2 linked regions of the Coturnix japonica genome follow. The protein of the gene in region 1 interacts with the protein of each later gene in a pairwise test. Links are inferred from orthologs where the notes say so. Each region holds a gene or a part of one and is shown in the gene's direction. Other genes may lie near its edges.

What was found.
Region 2: the proteins of C4H4orf19 (region 1) and PDCD10 interact in binary tests that used the Homo sapiens proteins (3 or more experiments, as listed by UniProt). The two-hybrid records come from large-scale screens. The link is inferred for Coturnix japonica from reciprocal best matches to the Homo sapiens genes PGCKA1 and PDCD10.

The regions. Positions count from the first base shown.
Region 1 is NC_029519.1:63,117,643-63,128,074, reverse strand, and holds the start of C4H4orf19 (uncharacterized protein C4orf19 homolog), read left to right. Parts: upstream 1-3,890; 5' UTR 3,891-4,117; intron 4,118-10,432. UniProt on the Homo sapiens protein: Acts as a tumor suppressor. Acts as a tumor suppressor for colorectal cancer cell proliferation by targeting KEAP1/USP17/ELK1/CDK6 axis.
Region 2 is NC_029524.1:18,268,308-18,278,753, forward strand, and holds the start of PDCD10 (programmed cell death protein 10), read left to right. Parts: upstream 1-3,859; 5' UTR 3,860-4,009; exon of another isoform or gene 4,010-4,052; intron 4,053-9,828; 5' UTR 9,829-9,942; coding exon 9,943-10,038; intron 10,039-10,446. UniProt on the Homo sapiens protein: Promotes cell proliferation. Modulates apoptotic pathways. Increases mitogen-activated protein kinase activity and STK26 activity. Important for cell migration, and for normal structure and assembly of the Golgi complex.

The DNA.
Region 1 (10,432 bases):
TTTACTTTCTCTTAAGGAGCACTATTTGCATATCCAGAACAAAGCTTTCATTCATTCTTTATCTAAAGTGCATCAATAAACAGGATCAGATGAAGGTCCATATTTTCTGACACACAAGGCTCTAGGAATAGGCCATAGCTGCAAGAAAGCTTTAGGGGGGAAATAGCCGGAAATTCTTTGGCTGACAAAGGTAAGCCAGAGGTCAGCTAGAAAAAGCATTTTTATCAGTCATTTCCTTTGCACCACAACTGGGGAATGCACGGCCCGTGACTTCATTTCATACGGCCTGTGGCCATTTAAATTTTTTCACGCTACTAGCAGATAACATCAAATGTGAGTTAACAGGTAGCTTGGAAAAGGCATTCAGAAGGCTTTCAGTTTTCAGTGTTTCTCCTGCACTGATTTCTTTATGCTGCATAAGCAAGTCCTGCTCAGAAACCTGTAGTGACAGAAGTGTTCTCAAGTGGCAAAGGGAGACTGAAACAAATATCTGCCACTATAATAATGGTCATACAAGGAAACAGGGGAAGGACTATTTCAGCCCTAGATCAGTTTAAAGTCCTGAGAATTCACTGTGACTGTCAAAAAATTACATTGAAAGTTTTTCAAGGCAAGTTGACTGATGTGATGCTTATGTGTCTTTGTGACACATTGTTTTCTTTTTTTCATAAGGGACTAAAAGATATAATATATCCACCCTAGATGGATTTGACTCTTAGGTAACATGAGACAGCTTCTGGGCTCTTACAGAGGCCACACCACAGTCCTCCATGCTACCAAAACTTTGCTACATAAAACTACTCAGTGTTTTACAGTAAATATTAAAAGTTCAAAATGACAGAAATTTTGTTATGTATCCCTATTTCTTCAATTATAAAATCAAGGGCATTTTATTTTTTCGCACATTTTTAACATATTCACAAATATGACCCGTAAATGTCAAAATGTGAAGTAGGACCTCAGGATAGCTGTCAAGGACTTGTTATTAAAAGTCATTTTATACATTTATGTTACAAATATGACCTACTTTAAAATTATTACACCCTGTTAAAGATATTACTCAACATTTCTTTGTGGAGCTCAACCTTGATGCAGGAAGAGCAATGGACTGCATTATTTCCCTTGGTTTGCCTTTCCAGCCTGGTCATCAAACACCACTCCTGGCATTTTGGAGGTAGTCTGGAGACTTTTACAAAGCCACTGATGATCACAGTGTGGGCCTAAATCACAATGTCAATTCTCAAAACTCAAAGGCTGAAAGAAGTTAACAAGGATGCTGGAAGGTCTGGAAGGCAAGGTGTGTGAGAAGCAGCTGAGGTCTCTTGTTTTGTTCAGACCAGAGAAGAGGAGGCTGAGGGGAGGCCTCACAAGGGGCATCACTGAGCTCCATTTTCTGGTGACAGCAACAGACCCAAGGGAATTAATGGAACTGTGTCAGGGGAGGGTTAGACTGGGGATTAGGAAAAGGTTCTGTACTAAAGAAGGAGCAGCATGGAACAGTCTCCCCAGGGCAGTGGTCACGGCCCCAAGTTGCTGGAGTTCACAAAGTGTTTGGACAGTACTCTCAGACATGGAGATTGAATTTTGGGGTGTTCTGTGTGGAGCCAGGAGTAGATAATATTTTTGGGTCCATTTCAGATCAGAATATTCTATGATCCTTCTAAGGATCATAGAATGAGGCACTTTGCCAGGTGCTTCTCCAGGAGGAGCAGTTCACACAACCATCCTTCTCCATCACTGGAGTCACCATCCCTGACAGTGTTCAAGAAGCATCTGGATATTCCATCCCACCCAGCAAAGCCTCCAAATGACTGCAGCCTCCACCACTTGCAGCACCTGACGTGTCTGCAGCACAGGGATTCCATCTCCAGCCTCAGCAGGGAATACATGAAGGCAAATTTAGGGCACATCCACATGTTCCTGTTGGCATGGCTTTCACTACATAACACTGCTGCACCAGCACAGCTCTTTCATTTACCACAGCATACAAAAGAGATAATGTCATCACCTGATTCCATGTGAATTTGGTGGTGTTCTTTGTATGCTGGAAAGCTTCAGGACTAAAAGAGGTCCAGTCAACAGACTTGAAGTGAAATACACAACATTTGCAAGGCAGGGGATGAAACAAAAAAAACAGACACACCAAAGCACAGATGAAAACAGAAGATCTTGAAAGAAACATACCAGCCTGTTGTCATCTGTCTCCATTATTGAATTGCCTCTTAAGTAAGTGCCCAGAATTTCCCACTGTAAGACCACTTTGCTGATGGTATCTAACTTACGATGTTAACCTCTTGGGCTGCAATTTGTCAAGGCAGAGTGTTATCTCAACAGGAATATCCTCCAAAATGAAAAAAGAAAAATAGAAACAAACAAATTAATTAATTAATAAAAACACCACCAAAACAGTCTACAGTGAGATTAGAGGGAAAATAGGGTTTCTGCTGGCTGAGTATCTCAACTACTTTTCCTGTGGAAAAAATATTATCCTACTTGTGGTTTGACACTCCATCCAAGACACATCTGTAAAAACCTGACCAAATTATCAGCTCAAAGAGATTCTAACAGCTTGCACATACCTATAGAAAAAGTCAGATTTCAGGAACAGGAGATTATTTTCAGCCAATGCTAAGAGCATGTAAGCAAAAATAAATAAGTAGAATATAATTTAGACAAATTAAAAAAAGAAAATCAAAAAAGTCTGCCACAGAGCTTTGCAGAGCTTTGCTGGACTCACAAGCTGCGGATAATGTTTGCCTTTACATTACAGCACAGTTCTCTGCTTCAAATAAGCAGATCCAAAGAAGCTTTTATGACTTTGTTGCTGGGCAGTTGTGTTGCAGGCAGCTTCATTGCTCTGCATGTGGCCAGGTGGCACAGCCAGTGCTCCTGCTGCCCCACCACCTACACGGCAGCCCCAGCCCACCCCTGACATGAATCTGGCAGAGCCACACTGTCCTCACCATAGCGTCTAGAAGGGGAAACACAAGGCAAACCCCGCTCACTGATGAAGTGAGATTTTAAGAGGCTATTTTGCATGAGTAAGGCAAGCAGTACTCAGCATGCCTCTTCCACTGGGAAGACAGGGGTGCAAGCTCCAACCAGTCAGAGGGCCACTCTAAGTGAACAGTCACTGGGAGTGAGAACAATACCTCTACCAGTACAGCAGCCAGGCTTCATATAACCATAAACAAACAGAGAATTTAGCAAAATATTTCCAAAGTGTTGTCAAGTGGGCTACCTCTGCTTGTACTGCTTTGGAACCCCCATCCTAACGTAATGTCAGTGCCAGTTCTTTCCAGGACTTTTTTTTCTTCTTTAAGTTTCCACTTACACATCTACTCACGTTACAGATTACAGCTGGGAAACACCTGACACAGCTGCCAGCAGATATTGCTTAAGTCAGTTCTCTCCTCCCGCACAGGGAACACTCTCATAACTGGGTTGCAGCAGCAGAACATCTTTCATAGCGCATTTGGAAACACCACACCCAAACCAAAGTGATTCCAGGGAAGTCAGCAACTTTCATCAGTAAGTATTAGGGGGTGCCTGCAAACACCTACCTTAAAGCAGAGCTCCTCTGCAGAGCATCACCCAGAACAGTGGGACTCAATTTCTATGCTCAGTAATACTCTGATACAACAGAGGAGATTTTTACCAGAGCTGTTCAGCACTGCCTGTGGCATGAGAAGATTTAATTTTAAGAATATGCAAATAACAGTGTTAACACACTGACAGACTTGGACTTTGTTGTGGTTGTGGTGAGCGGGTGTCCCAGTGGAGAACTATTCGGCACTTGCAATCCCTCCCATTCCTTTTCTAACCCGGCTAGAAAGCAGTGAGGTCTGTCAGGTTTTCTCCAGCTTGCAGGTAAAGGGTTACAGATTCTAGGAAGTATTAAATGCAAACTTTAAAGGATTTTATTTTCATCTGCAGTCACATGACGACTTAATACCCAATGACACTAACTACAGTGTCTCATTAAGAGGTCATGCAAACTCCCAAGCTAAACAAGGCATTCTTACATATTTAACATTCAAATGCAGGAGCCGAGCTAAGCCATGGAAGATTGTAATCAGAAAAAAGCAACACTTCCTGATCAGGACAAAAGCTACAGGTAGGAAAAGTTCTTGTTCCTTTAACTTACAACACTGTGCTTTCAAGAGAAACTGATTGTAGGACATGTTGTGTACACTCTTTCTTAACTTTAGCTCTCAAAATAAGCTAACTTTTATCTGGAAAATATCAGATCTCACCTGTTTCACCTTTTGTAAAATCAGTTTTGTTTATATGCTCGGTTGGCTCAGCAGAAATCCAAACAAAACAATGCTCTTAAACGAAATGTAACTATAGAAAAACTGATATTTTAGAAGATTTCTTAGCTATTCAGACTGTTGTGTTAGAGTATGCAAGGTAAAAGGGGAGTTAATGTGTCTGACATCTGAACTGAGTGGATTTAGAGCTCTTCTGACTTTACTTATACCATGAACTGCACATTGTTTCAGTCACTCTGATGAAAGTATATTTTAATGGATGTGGCTTTCTCGCTGAACTTTCATGATTTCTGATTTCCCTTCCTTCAATTTGATGCATTTAAAAGGAAAAAATATCTTACAAATGCAAATGAAATGCAGATGGGGAGGATATTTCAGTGCTCTATAAAAGGAGAAAAAAATAATAATTATTAAAAACAAAAACAGGGAGTAGAAGGAAAGGCAGTCAGTTAATTGAGAAGTTAAATTGTATGAGGGCATATCCATTAAGTGATAAAGTTTCACTGACAATTGCTGGCAATATTGCAGTTCTTTTTTTTTTTCATTTTGCTGAAGGATTTGTCCAGGATGCGGCATCAGCACTTTGTTCACAAAGATCTTCTTCATCACAGTTTTTCTCTAAACTGTAATTATTTTCACATGGGGCAATACATACTCACCATTTTTACCCCTTTATAGGAATTTAGTTGTAGACGATAAAAACCACCATTTACCTGTAGCTGCAGAGCTACAAAACCTATATTTACTAGAAGATCTCAGTGCACCTTTAGATTTCCACCCCCTGGGGATTCTCACTGCATAAAAGGAGTAAGTGGTGTTTATAGTTTTACTCCTAGGATAGCAGGTGGTAATTGCAGGCAATGTACATTTTCTTCACTTTATTCTAGAAAACCTTTTTCCTCTTTGCACATAACACTAGAGTATACTAAAAAGAAGTGGAGAATAACAATAACTATGACACCTTGCTACATATAGATAAGCTCTCAACTTTCTTTGCTTTATCATTACCAGTGCTTAAAATAAACCCAAGGAAGTTGGAGCTCCAACAAGTTTATCACTAGAGCTTAAAAAACAATTGCTCACTTCCAGGGTGGCCATCTCAACCTGATGTAGGTCCAGCCTGAGACACCGAGTCTTTTACCAGCTATGGGTACTGCTCACCTCCCAGCAGAGGAGTTCACTAAGAAGATGAAGATGTAGAAAGAAACAACCATGTTTTAAAACAACTGTTTTAAATTTACTATAACTGACCTCTGAATTTAAATTATTTACAAAAATACATACACATTTATCTATTCAGTAACTCTTGTAGATAAGGGGCTTATTTGGTAAGCAAAATCTAAACATAAGAGAAACACAGCAGACCCCCAAATACACAGGCATTCTGTTACACAAGCTTTCTCCCAAGGTGAGCATTGCACCCAACTGACCTGTGGGGAGCAGCCTGCCAAGGCCAGACTCTTCTACCAAATGTTTGTACAAATTGGGTGGGTTATGAAAGCCAGCACTTAGGAGCAGGCAAATCTGTGAACACTGATTAAATAACATGTCTTTGTAGGGTGAAAGACACAAGAAATGCTAAAGTCACTCTGAGCAAACAGATACTTAATGAGGGCGAGAAGTAGCTCATTTCCAAAGAGAGGCATATAGAAGAGTTTACTCCAAGCATGCTAGCAGTTCAGATGTTCATTATACCAAAAATCTTACAATCTTTACAGTAATTTACACTGTTTTAATTATTGCATTTGTTTTGTTGTTTTTTTTTTTTCTAATGGTATAACCCAACCTACTAGCTTGCTCTGTCACTTCAACATAGAATCAAATCACAGAATCACAGAATCACCAAGGTTGGAAAAGACCTAAAAGATCATCCAGTCCAACCATTCACGTATTACCAATAGCTCCCACTGAACTATGTCCCTCAACACAACATCCAAATGTAGTATTGTTCACAGGAAGGACACACAAGTCAAAGACGTACAAGAGTACGCTAGAAAAGATATTCTTTGAAACCGAGATTCATGCAAATCCAAGACAGAATTTTTATCTTCAGTCTTTGGGAAAAACCAAGGAAACATAAAAATTAAAATGCTTCCATGAGTTTGGAATTGTTTTCTGTTCTCCCAAAACCAGAGCTAAGCAAAATATTGATTAAAAGTTAACCTGGCTTTTCCAAAATGCTTGTGAATCTCAGGAAACCTGTATCAGATTTAAGGCTTATACTGCAAATCGTGAACCTGCTCATTTTCTTGCAGCTCTAGGTAGGCAGGAAGACAGAGCAAAAGCTGTGACTGAGTGCATCTGTGGCTTCCTTGGAAAGCCAGGTAGAAAGTGATCACCATGCAAAGGAAATATTTTTGAGTGCTAAGGCTCTTCATTAGCCACATGGTTGTTTTTATCACATCTCAAGGAAACACTTAAGGAAGTATCTGCTTTCAACCAAGGTTCTTCATATAGGCAAGAGTGTGATGCTTTCCTTCCCACTGAGCAGAAAACCAAGTACAGGATCTGAGGCATATAAAATATAACAGGGAAGGAGACCACACAGGCAAGTAATAGAGAAGGCCTGCATGGTCTCTGTGTGACAGTCCTGTGCAGAAAAAGAAAGACAGACAGAAGAGAGAAAGTGTCTGGTCATGGAACAGGGTGCCCAGTGCCCCAGCCAACAGGAGACCTCAGGGCAAGCAGGGCCTGCACAGGAGACCAGAGTCTGCTTTGAGTCCGTGCTGTTCTGCCACCTCAGGAAAGCCTTCATTCACGTTTTTCAGGAAGGGGAGGCCTTTTTCTGTGTTTGCACAGTATCTAGTTAAACACAATCTCAGTCTTGTCAACATCTCACACAACCATCGTTTCACAAGTGACGTGGTGAGGACAAGACTTGACATATGCAACCCACTGAAAGGTGATGTCATCAGATAATAAATATTTGCTTGGAACTTAAAATTCCTCTTCCAAAACCTGTTCATCTGCCACCTGACAGCACACTGTGCCTCATTCTTCCACCAAAAGAAGTGCAAGCAATGATGCATGGACATGGCTGGGTTTTGCAAAGCTAAGGAGCACGAATTCCAGCAAACTGGACATATTGTTATGGAAAATAGGTACAACAAGTGACATAGTTTTACTTATTGAAAGTTTGATATCAAATGGACAAAATAGCTTTTGGTAGAAAGGTCAAAAGTATTATTGGAAAGGGGGGAAAAACAGCAATTTTTCCTCGATCTTCCCTCTAAGTCACTTTTGCTCGGACATATGGAGGAACTTTACAGTTTTATTAAGAGCTGAGTACATAGTTTGGAAACTAAACATTTAATCAGTTACAGCAGGAAGCTGGGAAAAAGAAAAAAAAGAAAAAAGAAAAAAAAAAAGACCTAAGGTTCCTTTTTTGTGTGACGTTTTTGTCTGCAGTTTCTACAAAAGTTTATTTAATTTCCAATTCTTCACTTTAACCACAGATGTTGGCTGCAAAGCCACAGATGCTTTCTGGTTAGAAAAATATTTGTGGTCAAATAGTCTATTATTAATTCACATAAGTTATTTTTCCATTTGGGAAAGCAAGGAACAAGCCATCTCCTTGGGGCTTACTTTTTTTCTGGTGAAACCAAATGGGCCTGGCTCCACTTTAAGTCATTCCCCAGCTATGAAAGAAAGCTGTGCATTGTTATTAAAAAGCAGTTAACTTTTGGATTTAATGAGAAGAAGGCGAATGCTTTGCTATAGCAGACAATCTGCTTTTGTGCAAGAGATGAGTAGAAAAGAAGAGAGCATCCAATGTGAAGGAGGAAATGTACTCCAAGTGACTGAAAAACCTTTCAACCTGGAACCTCCTCCAGGACCCTTCCATACTGACAACAGTGGGAATAGTACCAAATCCTCATACACAGGCCAGGAGCAGAATATGTGACCTGGTGTAGGCTGTGCTGGTGCTGCCACAAATCTGCCCAGCGCTTTGCTACCAGCATAAATTTCAGTGGCACAGCAGCTCAGCTCTGCCCAAGGACAGAAGATCTCCAGACTACATAGAAAAAGATTATTTCACTTTTGACTACACTCCCTGCTGAGGACAGATGCGTTTGGGTGTGAAGACACTTTGCCCAGATAGGTTGGCATTAATGTCCATAATGTCAACTCTGATGTGGAGTCTCTGGAGGCTGCTTTAAGGCAGGAGCAGAAGGAGTGTACCAAATGAGCTATATGGAACCACATTCCCACAGATTCAGGGATTTGCCTGGCAGTATGTCCTTTCCTTCTCTGAAAAGCTATTCTCCCCCAGGATTTATTGCAATGGTTAAATTTATTGCTGTGGTTGTATTTACAGCTCTCACTTCCCCCTTCATCCCGCAGCTTCTTGCAACACTTTTATTAGATTTGGGAGTGCCCAGCATTATCAGCCTTACTCAGCACCTGAACCTTGTGCAACAGTGCAGGACACAGAACAAGGGGCCCACGTCCTGATGCAGCAGCCTAACGCTTTTCTCCCCTTCACCTTCTGCAGCTCCCAGGTCTGGGCTGCAGCCACCCCAGGGCCAACCAGCAAATCTGTACTGCTCTACAGGACCTACAGTTTCTTCTCCCCTAAAAAATGTTAAGCAGCTCTTACATTTCTTACAGCATTCAAGCCTGACAGCAATCTTCTCTATGTGATTTTAACACTGGTTGTTCATGAGGAGCTACTCTTCTGATCTGCTCACAGTAAAAGTATTCTTCCAATCTACTTGCAGTAAAACAAGTGTAAGGCTTTGGCAGTGTCAGATTTTTGAAGCAAGCTGGCAGCCCTGTTCACTTAGAGATCAGTGGAAAAAAACTTTCCACTTCCAGAAACCTGAATAAAGCTTTGTTAAGGCCCTTTCTGTCTCTATTTTTGGCTTGGGTGTGGCATGGAAAAAATAATATTTACCATCGCAGTAGCTGTGCCCTTTGTGTATTTGTGTTCATATTCCCTTTCCCCATGTGAATTCAGCAGATGTTGCAGGGCTTGATATCAGCCCTGTACTTCTGTTATCTGAATGCATGCACGTCTCCACTGAACAGGCCACGTCTGTGCAGCAAAGATACTGATTCAACTGCCAGACAACATAATGAAGAAAAATAACCTAAGATTTCATTTGCAATGTAAATGAAACAGAAGCTATCATGATCAGTCCTAAACTGAAGGCCTCCAGGGGCCTGAGAAGTTACAACCATGTACAATGTCCCATTTCTGTTCTTAACATCTCTTTTTAAATTAAAATCACTTGCAAATGTTTTCCATTGCACTGGATGAATATGCTCAGATTGCTAAAGGCTAGTCCATATTTACAGATATACATTAAACACTAATGCTTGGTGCAATTATCCAATTCATTACCTACCATAAAAACATTTCCATCCACTCACATATAAACAGACAGATTTGCTAATGCACAGATGATCAAAAAGCTCAAAGACCACTTAAGAAAACAGCAAAGAGTGCGAGCTAGGGAAACGAAAATGGGCTGCTTTCATGCCAATACCACCACTTATCAGTCAGCCTGAACCATTAGTTCTTTTTCACTTCTCTGCCATCCTTCCAAATAAAGCTTTACTGGAGAGCGACTGAGCATTTTTAGCTCAGTACACATGCTGATATCCACATCTTGCAAGTGACAAAGACTGGGTTGGGAAGCAAGGAGGTAAATCAGCCCTGTGCTCTGGACAAGAGGTAGAATTTGAAATTAAGTCTCCTGAATTCTCTAAGAGCCAAATCTGTCTCCAGAGACTAACCCTTTAAATCCTAGCACACTGACAATAAATCTCCTGTCATGAGGAAATATGTCAGGTAGATAAGTTATTACATACAGGCAGCAGACATTTGCTTTATGATGGAGCTACCTGAGATGCACTGTACCTAGCCTCAGATAAACTCTCTGGAATAAGGAGTCTTGCTGGAAATGTCAGTGTGCTGTGAGCCTTAAGCATTCAGCTGCAAATGCAGAGTCCCACAAGTCAGTCTTAACTATGCAATCTACATTGATAATTATGGTGAATTCAACCCATTTTCTTCGCAATAATTACATGAAAACAAAAGGAAGAAAGAAATTATAAATGAAAGAATTACTATACTGACCCGATTCCAGAAAGTCTTTCAGTGGAATTAATACTTTCCTATAGCTTTCAAGTACTGTTCAGCTTGAGACTGA
Region 2 (10,446 bases), on another chromosome or scaffold:
TGCTTCAGTGAGTTCAAGTTGTAATGTGAAATACCCAATTATTAAATGCTCAAAGAGCTGCTTTAATTTAGAACTGGAAAGAAAAGCATTCCAAACGGGCAGCTTTAGTGTACCAATTAAAAAGAAATCTTAAATCTTTAAACCTATTTTCTTTGTAGCTGTAACTTATATAACCAAGAAGCACACAGGGAAAACTGGGGCAGCGAGTATTACCTCAGACAGAAGTGGTCATTACTGAAAAACAGCATTTTGCTCTATTGTCAAGGCAGGAGGCAGTCTCCAGTGGCTCAGTGATCATGAGGAATTCAGACAGGCTGTCTTCAGTAAAGTACCATGCTCCAAACGTTACCCTGACATGCCAAGGTCGGTTAAAAGATAACATTAAGAAGTGGCTGTCCAAGTTCTCTAACTTTCTGTGACGATGTGTCACAGCCAAGGACTGGAATGGTATCTCTGCTGAAGCAACTGACTAGTGGTAGTTCACATCTGGTACTAGCATTTGGGCACGTTATTTTATTGTCAAGCTAATTAGTGCTTGCTATGGTATCTGAGCAAAATTCAGCCAGTTTCAGAAATAAAACAAGTCTTAAATATGTTGTTAAAACAAGTCAGAAAGCAAACAATAGTTCTTCTTCCTCATACCAGGGAAACTCCAAGCCCACTCCACAGACAGAAACTCAAATGACAAAATATGTGAAAACAAATGAGTACAAGAACTGAAGGACTCAGGGGAACACTCTTAGCTAACAAGCATTTCTGTTTGTGTAAGCAGGAAACTTCACTGCGTACAGCTTCAGTGTGGATGGAAGGGATCTTTCTAGAAGCCTGCAGCCCACTAGACTCAAAAGCCATCATGAGGTCAGCCTTTCCCTGAGACATGCACAGCAGATTAAATATCCTTCACATTATTAAGCAATTATTACTTTAGATGTAACAGTAATGATGAAAAACCACAAGGCTGAAGAACAACTGAATAAACAGGAAGACATCTGATTAATAGGCAGCTATTTGGTTAAAATTGAGCACAAGCACACGGCTCAACTTTCTTCCAGTAGGAATATTACCTGTCACTATCAATTTCCCCTCCCAAAATACCAACTGTCTCAAGATCTGAATTATTATTGAAGAATTACCATATTTAAACACTCCACAAAACTAAAAATTCTTCACAATACATAAGGTCAAATCTTATTAACCAAAAGTGAGGTGCATATTTAACTAATTAGCTTGTATCAACAAAACATTCTTTTCTCTCATCTCATAGCTACAGCTGCTTTGCAATGGCTCTAAAAGACCAAGAAGGATGCGGATAACTCACGCAGCTTTTATCACATTAGCCACACTCTGCTGTTCTCATAATCATTAGCTTTGAAGTATATTAAACAAAGCAGAAAGTGACCTTAGAGTTGATATTTTCAGCACACCACAGAAGAAAAAATTCTTATCAGACATTTCAGGCCACCAAATGAGATGCTGCTCATAATCACCCAAAACACAAACAGCTAAAAGAACATCGCTGCTACTCTGCCAAGCAATGCCAGGCAGTGACCACCCTACCAGCAGGGCTGTGTTATAGACACCCAATTTCAGCTTGGCTGAAGGATCAACATGAAGCACATTGCATGTATGAGACCAACAGGAAAAAAAAACCAAAGCTTATTAATACAGCATGGCTTTATTAACAAAATGCACAGGTTACCTTACCTACATTTATACTCACCAACAAACTCCACTAACCCAACAGTTTTGAAGACGCTTCCAAATTTAAATCAACTACTCTGATCTTCAAAGGTACAAAGTTACCACTAAACATGTTACTTCATAGATGTCTATCCCTACTATCTGCCCACTACCTTGAATATTAATGGTTACCTCCTAAATAATTTTAAGCAGAGAATCACAGGACACTTAACATGTTAATTCATGTTCAGGCAGACAGAATAATATACTGCCTACACAGAATATCTGCTAACAAGTTACTTTAAACATTCAAGAGTGACAGACATAGATAAAGAGCAACAAAACTTGAGTTGGAGAAAGCAATAAGATACTGGAGCAATCAGAAAGGTCAACAAAGTGGAAGAGCGATAAAGGAGCACAGAAGCAAAGGGAATAGTGGGAATGTGATGGTGTTACAAAGGAAAAGGGCTCACCCATCACTGAAGATCTGGGTTCACAAGGAAAACACCACAAGGGAGGGATCTCCAGACAGAGATTCTTCCCCAGTGGCAGTCAGCTCTTCAGTGTGGTCTAAGAGAGACACAGCCAGACTCCGCTCCTTCTGAACTGGTGAAGCCTTCACCAGTGCTCCCAGTTGACTGGGTCCTTTCCCCAGGTGCACAATCAGTGGTTCAGGCTTTGATTCAACAGTCACCATACAGATACATAAGTGAGAAAGCATACTAAAGACCTTGGAGTAGCTAGAGCTTGGTGCAAAGGATCCTACCAGCACCATCTCCTCTCCACTGCTCCATTTAGTAACAAAACAAAAGTTGAATTAAGAGGTAAGTAAACATATGACATTGACATATATAGAATAACTGTTGGGAGTTATTACAATGATGGAACACTCAGACACTCCTGGAGCTCTGCTGGACTGCCTGAACACAGGTCAAAGAGCATATTAAGTAAATCTAGGAAAGCATCATTAAGCATTACTTATGCTGTGACTTAAAGTAAAATACTAGCACCAGTAGGACTGCAGCTTCCTAACATCACTTTACAACCACTAAGGAATGACAATATCATAGATGCATATGCACCTCAACCCATGCTATAATGCTTCTGTGTCTGTCACACAAACTAAATAGCAAGGCTTTCTGCTGGATTAAAGCACTGATCGCATCAAAATAATTGAGGAATCAAAGACAAATACTCCGCATACACAGTAAAGCATGACAAATCTAGTAGTTGTTTTCTAGCATCCTTCCTTACCTACATGCAGATGGTGGGCACTGGTAGCATGTATGGGTAGCACACACAAGGGCTCTGCTCCCACACATATATCAGTATCTTCCCATTTCACCACCTCGGCGCTGCAAGGAGATGCAGCTGGCATTCAGGAGCACCGCGATGCACCGATTCATCACCTGCTTACAGCAAAACCCGCATACGCCTCACCAAAGTAATAACAGTACCAGGAAAAGTTGCAAGCTAACGCATTAGAAACGAAGGCTCAAACCTAGAACTGAGCTGCGTATTGATGGGAATTCATATTGGTTACTAAGAGCTTCACCTTAAAGCTTTCCAATAACTGCGAGCACCAAAAGTAACGCGACCGTTGTCAAACAGCCCATATAGGGGACACCTACAGGGCAACACAAGCCAAGAGATAGAGAGGAGAGAGGCAGCAGCTCAGCACAAGGCTGGGGCAGCTTCGTTCTGCCACGCTCAAACCACGGCTGGGACAGAGCTTCAGGAGACCACAGAATAGCATAAAACACACTCAGGTGGACAGGCTGCAGGTGCCGGGACAGCAGGACGCCACATTATTATTGCTCTCTTCCTTCCCCATTCTCTCCCCACATCACCCACCACCTCCCCTCAGGCACTGACACACAACCCGCACTACGGAGCCACGCAGCTTCACACCGACATCAAACCGCAGGCTGCTCCCGCAACCCTAAACACAGCACCGGCTGAACACAGCAGGCTAAAGGCACTTACCACAGCAGCAGCTCAACACCACCCCCCTCCACTGTGAGAAGTGCAGCCGCTGCTCCCCGCGCCGGGATATGCCACCGCGCCCCGTCCAGGCCTCGCCCACCCGTCCAGATTCGAGCTCTGATTGAATAGACTCTACTCCTATACTCCTCCTCATTCCCTCCTACCCGCCCCTTTTATCGCCTCGTTGCATTGTTGGTGTTGTAGTTGAGGAGAGAGGACTACGAATCCCAAGTATCCGAGCGGCTGCCGGTTAGTTCCGGACAACGCCTGGTGTGTGGTAACACGGCGGACGCTTCCTCCTTGTTGGGTTTCCGGCGAGGTGGAGGAGCCCCCTCGGAGCTCGGTGAGCTTTGCGGGGCGGAGAGGTATCGAGGTAAGGCGGTGAGGTGAGAGAGGCTTCGTTTTCTTCTCTAGGCCCATGTCTTTAAAGGGATAAGCGCCTGGAGAGACACAGAGGAAGAGGGTGGGGGTCACCGGTGTAAGGCCTGGGTTTCCTTTTGGGGTTGTGCTATGTTAGAAGCGTTAAACTGTCTCAGGTTTGAGGCTGGGTGAGGGGAGAAACGTTGTTTGCTGCAGGTGTGAGGCCTCGGCCTTTTTCTTCCTACCGCGGGGTGACCTGGCCCAAGGGCTCGTCCTTGTTTCCGCCCTTCCCGCTCGGATCCCTCCTGGTAGGGCCGGGTACCAACCCCCGTCCGCAGCCCTATGGCTGTTCTTGGCAGCGTTAGGCCTGCGTTGTATTTTTAGCCCGGCCTCGTACTGCTGAACGGCGTTGTCAGGGCTGGGCCTGGTTCGCTCCAGGTGGGGCCTTTCGTCTGGGGGAGGATAGAAAGTGATCACGTCGTGCTTCCTCTTTAAACCAAGCTTTAGGCTGGTGTTGTTAAACACCTTAGTGTGCTGTTATATGATTAATGAGTGGCGAGTGTGTGGCCTTCCTGGGGCTTGTCCATATAGGGGGCACAGGTTTGCTGCTGAAGCCTTGAGGCAGGTGGATGTGTTCTTGTTATCAGAGGAACTGATTGCTGAGTGCTGGTTGTTTACCCATTGGGATGTGTTATTGTGTTTGGAGCTGTTTCTGTTTGTGGTTTATCTGTTAGTGGTTGATAGGGCAATGAGAACTGAGTAGTTTTACTTTCAAATTCCCTTGGAAGAGGAAAAGAGCTTGAAAGAGAAACAGGGATGTGTTGTGTTATTCTGTATTGGAGAGGCTTCTTTGTGGCCTTCTAGTACTTAAAAAGAGACATGTTAACAAAAGAGAAATGAACTTTGTCTGCGTGTCAGTAGTGATAGTACAAGAGAGAGATGAAATTAGGGCCTAGTCCAGGCATCTTTTGTTTTTCATGTGATAGGCAGACACAAAACCAAAGTATTAGGGTGTACTAAATAATTTCTATTCTGAACTTCAGACAACAGATTTATTGAAAGCCAGATTTCAGAGTATTTTGAAGTAACCGTCTAAAAATAGGCTTCTTGAATTTACTGCAAGTTTGTGCAACTTAGTCACCCAAATTGGCTTCACAATAATAAAATGCACAAGCAGTTATACTCTGTCAGAGTGAACTCATCTGGAAGTGGCTGTGATAGATGTGCATGCAGGTATTTGAGGAGTACATGTTTGCTCTACTAAGAGGCATTTAAAGATGCCTATTAAACTTGAGTGCTGTTTTCTGATAGTATTCCTTTTGTTATCTCTTTTGGGAAGGTGCTGAATGTAAGCATTAGCTTAATACAGAACCTGTACAGTAGGCTGCTTCTTTAGGTTTCTTGTTGTCTTTATTAGTTTTAGAATACAGAGGTTGTTATCATCATAGCTGCACTTGACACCAATTTCAGTGAATTCAACCATCCTGTCCCCAGCTCTAATAAGAGAAGTAGCTCAGTATTTGAGGCACAGAGGCTTTCAGCTTTGTACTATGCAGTCAAAGTTATACAAGAGGAGTGGTTATGATCTACGAATGGAAGTACTATGTAGGTAACTTCTCTCCGGAAGGGGGGAACTTGTGCTTTTTTTTCCAGTTTATTATGAGCAACCATTAACAAGAGAAACTTAAAGGTACCAAGTTGTGCACAGGGTAGGTACACTGTTAGAACTGCATATTAGCCATGTACTTGGGCTTTACAAATAAAGGCCAAGGTCTTTGCCTCTGAATTTGGGACAGGCCTCAAGTTAAGTGTTTGTTTTTATCCCGTTCTTTCTTACTAAGCTTAAGTTTTTCTGATGGCAAAGATCTTAGTGGATTTTCTCTTAACACAACCTTCTTGAATCCTCCCTACAAGAAGTGGAGTGGAACTTCTTGTTAGTGGGGATAATCTTTCTAGGAGGAGCAGAGCTGTAACTTCTGGTTCTGTCCTAAAAACCAGTCATTGAATTAATCATGCAGGTAGATCAATGCCTCAGGCCTTCTTCCACTTGGTACTTCGCTTAAAAAGAAGGAGCAGGCTTAAAAAGAAATAGCACAAACGTTTGGCTGCTTTAAGATTATCTACATCTGAGGTAAATGGAGCCTGGAGAATGGAATGGAGACAGCACCAGTGGTGTAGGTAGGTGACGTAGCTGAGGAGTGAAATTCTGCCATCTGGAACTTCATGTTTCCATTGTTTTCCAACTTCTTTCAAGTTCCAAGCATAACACTCTGTCTTCTCTTTAAACATGCTTTCAAAAGGTAGTATGAAGCAAAATACTTTCTTTCATAGACAAGTAGATTGTTTTCACACTGACCAGTGAGCAAAGGTGGATTTGGGAAAGTTTCTGCCCTTCCTGGTTCTTCTGCCACTTGACTTTTAAGTGCCTGTCAGAAAATAGCATAGATGAGAAAAGCAAGTTTGTGTCTTGGGCACTGGTAACAGTAGCTGTACATTTTGGGAAAGTGTGGAGTTTCTTGCTTTTCATCTTCCTGCTTTACAAGAAGTTTATCTGAATGTAGGGTGTTGTGTTGTTTTTTCCTTTCAGGCAGTTCCATTGAATGATTGAAAACCTCATTGGGTGGATTTGGAGGAATAGATCTATAACATAACATTGAAATTCATCTTAAGTGTGCTGGTTCTGTGATTACTGAATAGTTGGGCTAGTCTTTTGGTGCTGAAACATTGAAGGTTATAACATATAAGATTTATATGGACAGTGAAAGTAGATTCTGTATTAGTTATTCTCTGGGAATAGGGCTTGATGCATTTGGCTTAATGCTAAACAGACAGGATTATATTAGCTTGCATCTTAGCACTGTTTTCGAATTTAAATTCTCTTTACACTGGCTATATCCATCTTGTTCCTTCCCTCTGATGATTGATTTCATCTGATAGGGGTGAGGCATGACTTGTAATTACACATGCTGGTGAACAGGCTACATTTGAATCTGTGGGACTGCTGTGTAAAGAAACAAGTCTTATATGCAGATGATATTGAGTAGTCTGTCTTTTCCCATAACTCATATGGTATATCCTAATTTCTCCTAGTCTTCTCCCTCAGACCAATTAACAGACTGGCCAGTTGAGTAATGTTCTTTTTGCATCTAACAGCAATTTTCCAGGGTTTTCTGTATTACATGACACTGTGGTATTCTAATGGATCAACTATTTGTAGGATCTTATTCCAGCTTTTTTGATTGTCAGCAAAGCCACACATAGCAACACTTCTGAAAGCTATTGGACTACCTAACAATTCACAAAAATGATGGAGCTGGTTTTAGTTTGCATGGGGATTTGGTCTAAATCATGTTTGAGACCATGAGATTAGTGAGGTGCTGGAACAGCTGCCCAGAGAGGTTGTGGATGCCCTGTCCCTGAAGGTGTTCAAGGCCAGTTTGGATGGGGCTATGGGCAGCCTGGTCTAGTATTAAATGGGGAAGTTGGTGGCCCTGCCTGCAAGATGGGTTAGAGATTCATGGTCCTTGAGGCCCCTTCCAACCTGGACCCTTCTGTGATGTTGCCAACAAAAGTGGCTCATGTTCTTGCCTGTTTTTTGTGTGCATGTGTATTTAAAAGCCCCTCTTGTCCTCACTACCTCTTGTCTTCCATCCCTTGAGTTCTCTGTGATAATGTGAGTCCAGGGTTGATTTACTTTGTTTGAGGAATGTCTGTACCTGCAAAAGGGGTAATAGATGGTCTATAATTGTTTTAATATGGGGTGTTTAATGGTACAATAGGTTAGTAACAGTAGCTTATAGCTCCTCAGAAAGCGAGTCTTTCATGGTAGTCTACAGTGCAATAGGTTTTCATTGTCATAAAAATCTATCATTTCAGTTAATATTTTATTTTTTTCCTGGATACTGCAACCCATAAAATCACAGTAACTACATCTAATGGTTGCTTTGTCCTTTTTGCCCTTCTGCTTGTGATCAAAAATCTTTTGGGTAATGTTCAGTGATGTTCAGTTACCTGTTCTGAAAAGCTTGTACTGACAGCACAATACTTTAGATAAACACTTGCAGGCAATCTATGAATGCTGGCTTCAGTGATGCTCCTTTGTGTGCTGCCTTCCTTGAGTCTTTATCTTACTGACCTTCCAGAAACACAGAGTTAAAGAGTAAAACAAGCAGCTCTCCTTCCCCCTTGCCCATGACATGCCAAGGCTGTTGGTGCTGGCACTATGCATGTGTAAGAAATGGGACAGCTTGTACTTGCACTGGTGAGGAAACTTGTTCAGACGAGGTTCCCCCCCCCCCCCTTCATGGGAGTAGACCTGGCATCAATTTGTGTAACTTGGAAATAAATTGTTTAAAGATGATTCCACTTGGGGGAAATGATGAATATTGGTTGCTTATAACTGTAAAAGAGCTGCTGGTCTTTTCATCTGGTCTTGATCTGTAATACCATTCATGCCAACATAGCTGTACAACTACCTCTATAAGGATCCAGTAAGTAGCCTTGGTGGCTACAGAGGTCTGCTTACGTGTTGCACTGAAGGCTTGAAACAATAATAGAAAAAGGTTTTGCAGTAGATAATCCATGTCACAATTTGTGTGAAGGACTGTCACTTCTTATTATATTTACATTTAATTTCTTCTTAATGTGCTTTCCCAACTGTTGGCTATTTCTGTACTGTGACCTGCTCCTGAGTTTTATCACATTGGGGTGTTTTCATGTTGCCCAATCACATGCACACATGAGGCATGCATGGTATTTGTAGCCATCCACGTTCCTTGTGTGCTTACTTGAATCAATAACAAATCTCACTTATATGTGCCTGCACTGGGCAAAAGGATGAAGTGTTTTGCATTTAAATAGATGTGTGCAGGAGATTTCTAACCAGAGCAGAGTGGGGAATAGAGCTTGAAGTGTCTTAGCATGTTTTATCACATTCAGACCATTGCAAGGTGATACTGGTTATTGCTGTAGTTTTTACTGTTGCTTAAAAATGTCACCCTATTCACTTATTTACTAAAATATCAGTGAAATCTGTTACCTGGGCATACAAATACTGGATGTGTGAAGGTTCCTGAGTGTGGGGGGGAAAAAAACTCCTGTAGCACATTAAATAAGGACAAAACTGAAGAAATAAAAGATTTGCATCTTTGTTCCTAATTTGGACATTAGGTCCTCAATTATGTTAAGTAAAATATTCTAGGGGTCTTGTTGAAAACAAAGTCTAGTGGTCTGCTACAAAGATTTCATATGAACCACAGGTCAGCCATCTTCCCTTTCATCTCCCCCCCCTCCCCCCCCCCCCCTTAATTTCTGTGTCAGAGCAATGATTGTGCTATCTTGGGCACGATGAGCTGGACTGGGTGGAGGACTTCCAAAACCAAGGTTCAGTTACTGGAACAATAATTTTCCATTCACTTAACGTAGCAGTTGACACACCCTGAGTGGAAAGATGACTTAAGACTTTTGCTTACATAAAGACAAAGATAGGGTATTCACAATTTTTGTATTGTGTATCAAGTGAAATCACTTCTAGGGGAATGAATTATGTAGGAACTTGCAGTGAAGATTTTTGTGGCAGCGTGTTCTTGTAAAATACCTGCTTGCTTAGTAAATTAGAATTGGGAGTTTAAAATTGCATGAAGCAGTCATTCTATACTTGCTTAACAAACTCAGAATTCCCACATTCTGGGCAGGGACTGATGTTGTTCTGTGCTTTTATTTTCTATTTTAGCAATTATCAGCTATTATCATTCATAATTATTTGTTGGTTTGTGGTTGTTTTTCTTTTCCTTGTGACATAAGGACATTTCTCAAGTTCATCAATCATTTTTGCACAACGAGGAGAAAGAAGAAACGTTTCAGTGAATGAGGAGTCTTCTGCTTCTATAGCATTTTTCTTGAGAAGTGGGTCTTTGAATGAGGATGACAATGGAAGAGATGAAGAATGAAGCAGAGACCACTTCAATGGTTTCCATGCCACTCTATGCTGTTATGTACCCTGTCTTTAATGAGGTAAGCTGTGTGCTTTTGCTTTAGAATCTAGTAATCCCTTTTACATTAGAAAATCTGATTGCAGTAACAGATTGCTTACCTTGACATAGAGAACTTCTTAGCACCACTTATTTCATCATTCTTTCCCATAAATGCAGTTTCAAGCTTCTCAAAAGTTATTATCTTGACCCTGACATTATTTTAATTAGGTTTTGCGAAAGATATTAGCAGAAATGCTAGGTAAATAATACTTCTCTTGACCATGCAGTTCCTTTTCAGATGATCTCTTCAGTGTTCTTTTTCCCCTTCATGCCTGTAAATGCACACAGCAATTTTTGGGAGTCTGCTTTTGGAGCTGTTTCAGCTCTAATGTTCCCAGATCTGACACAGCATTAGGAACCTGTACATTATGTGACTAGAAGTGATGCA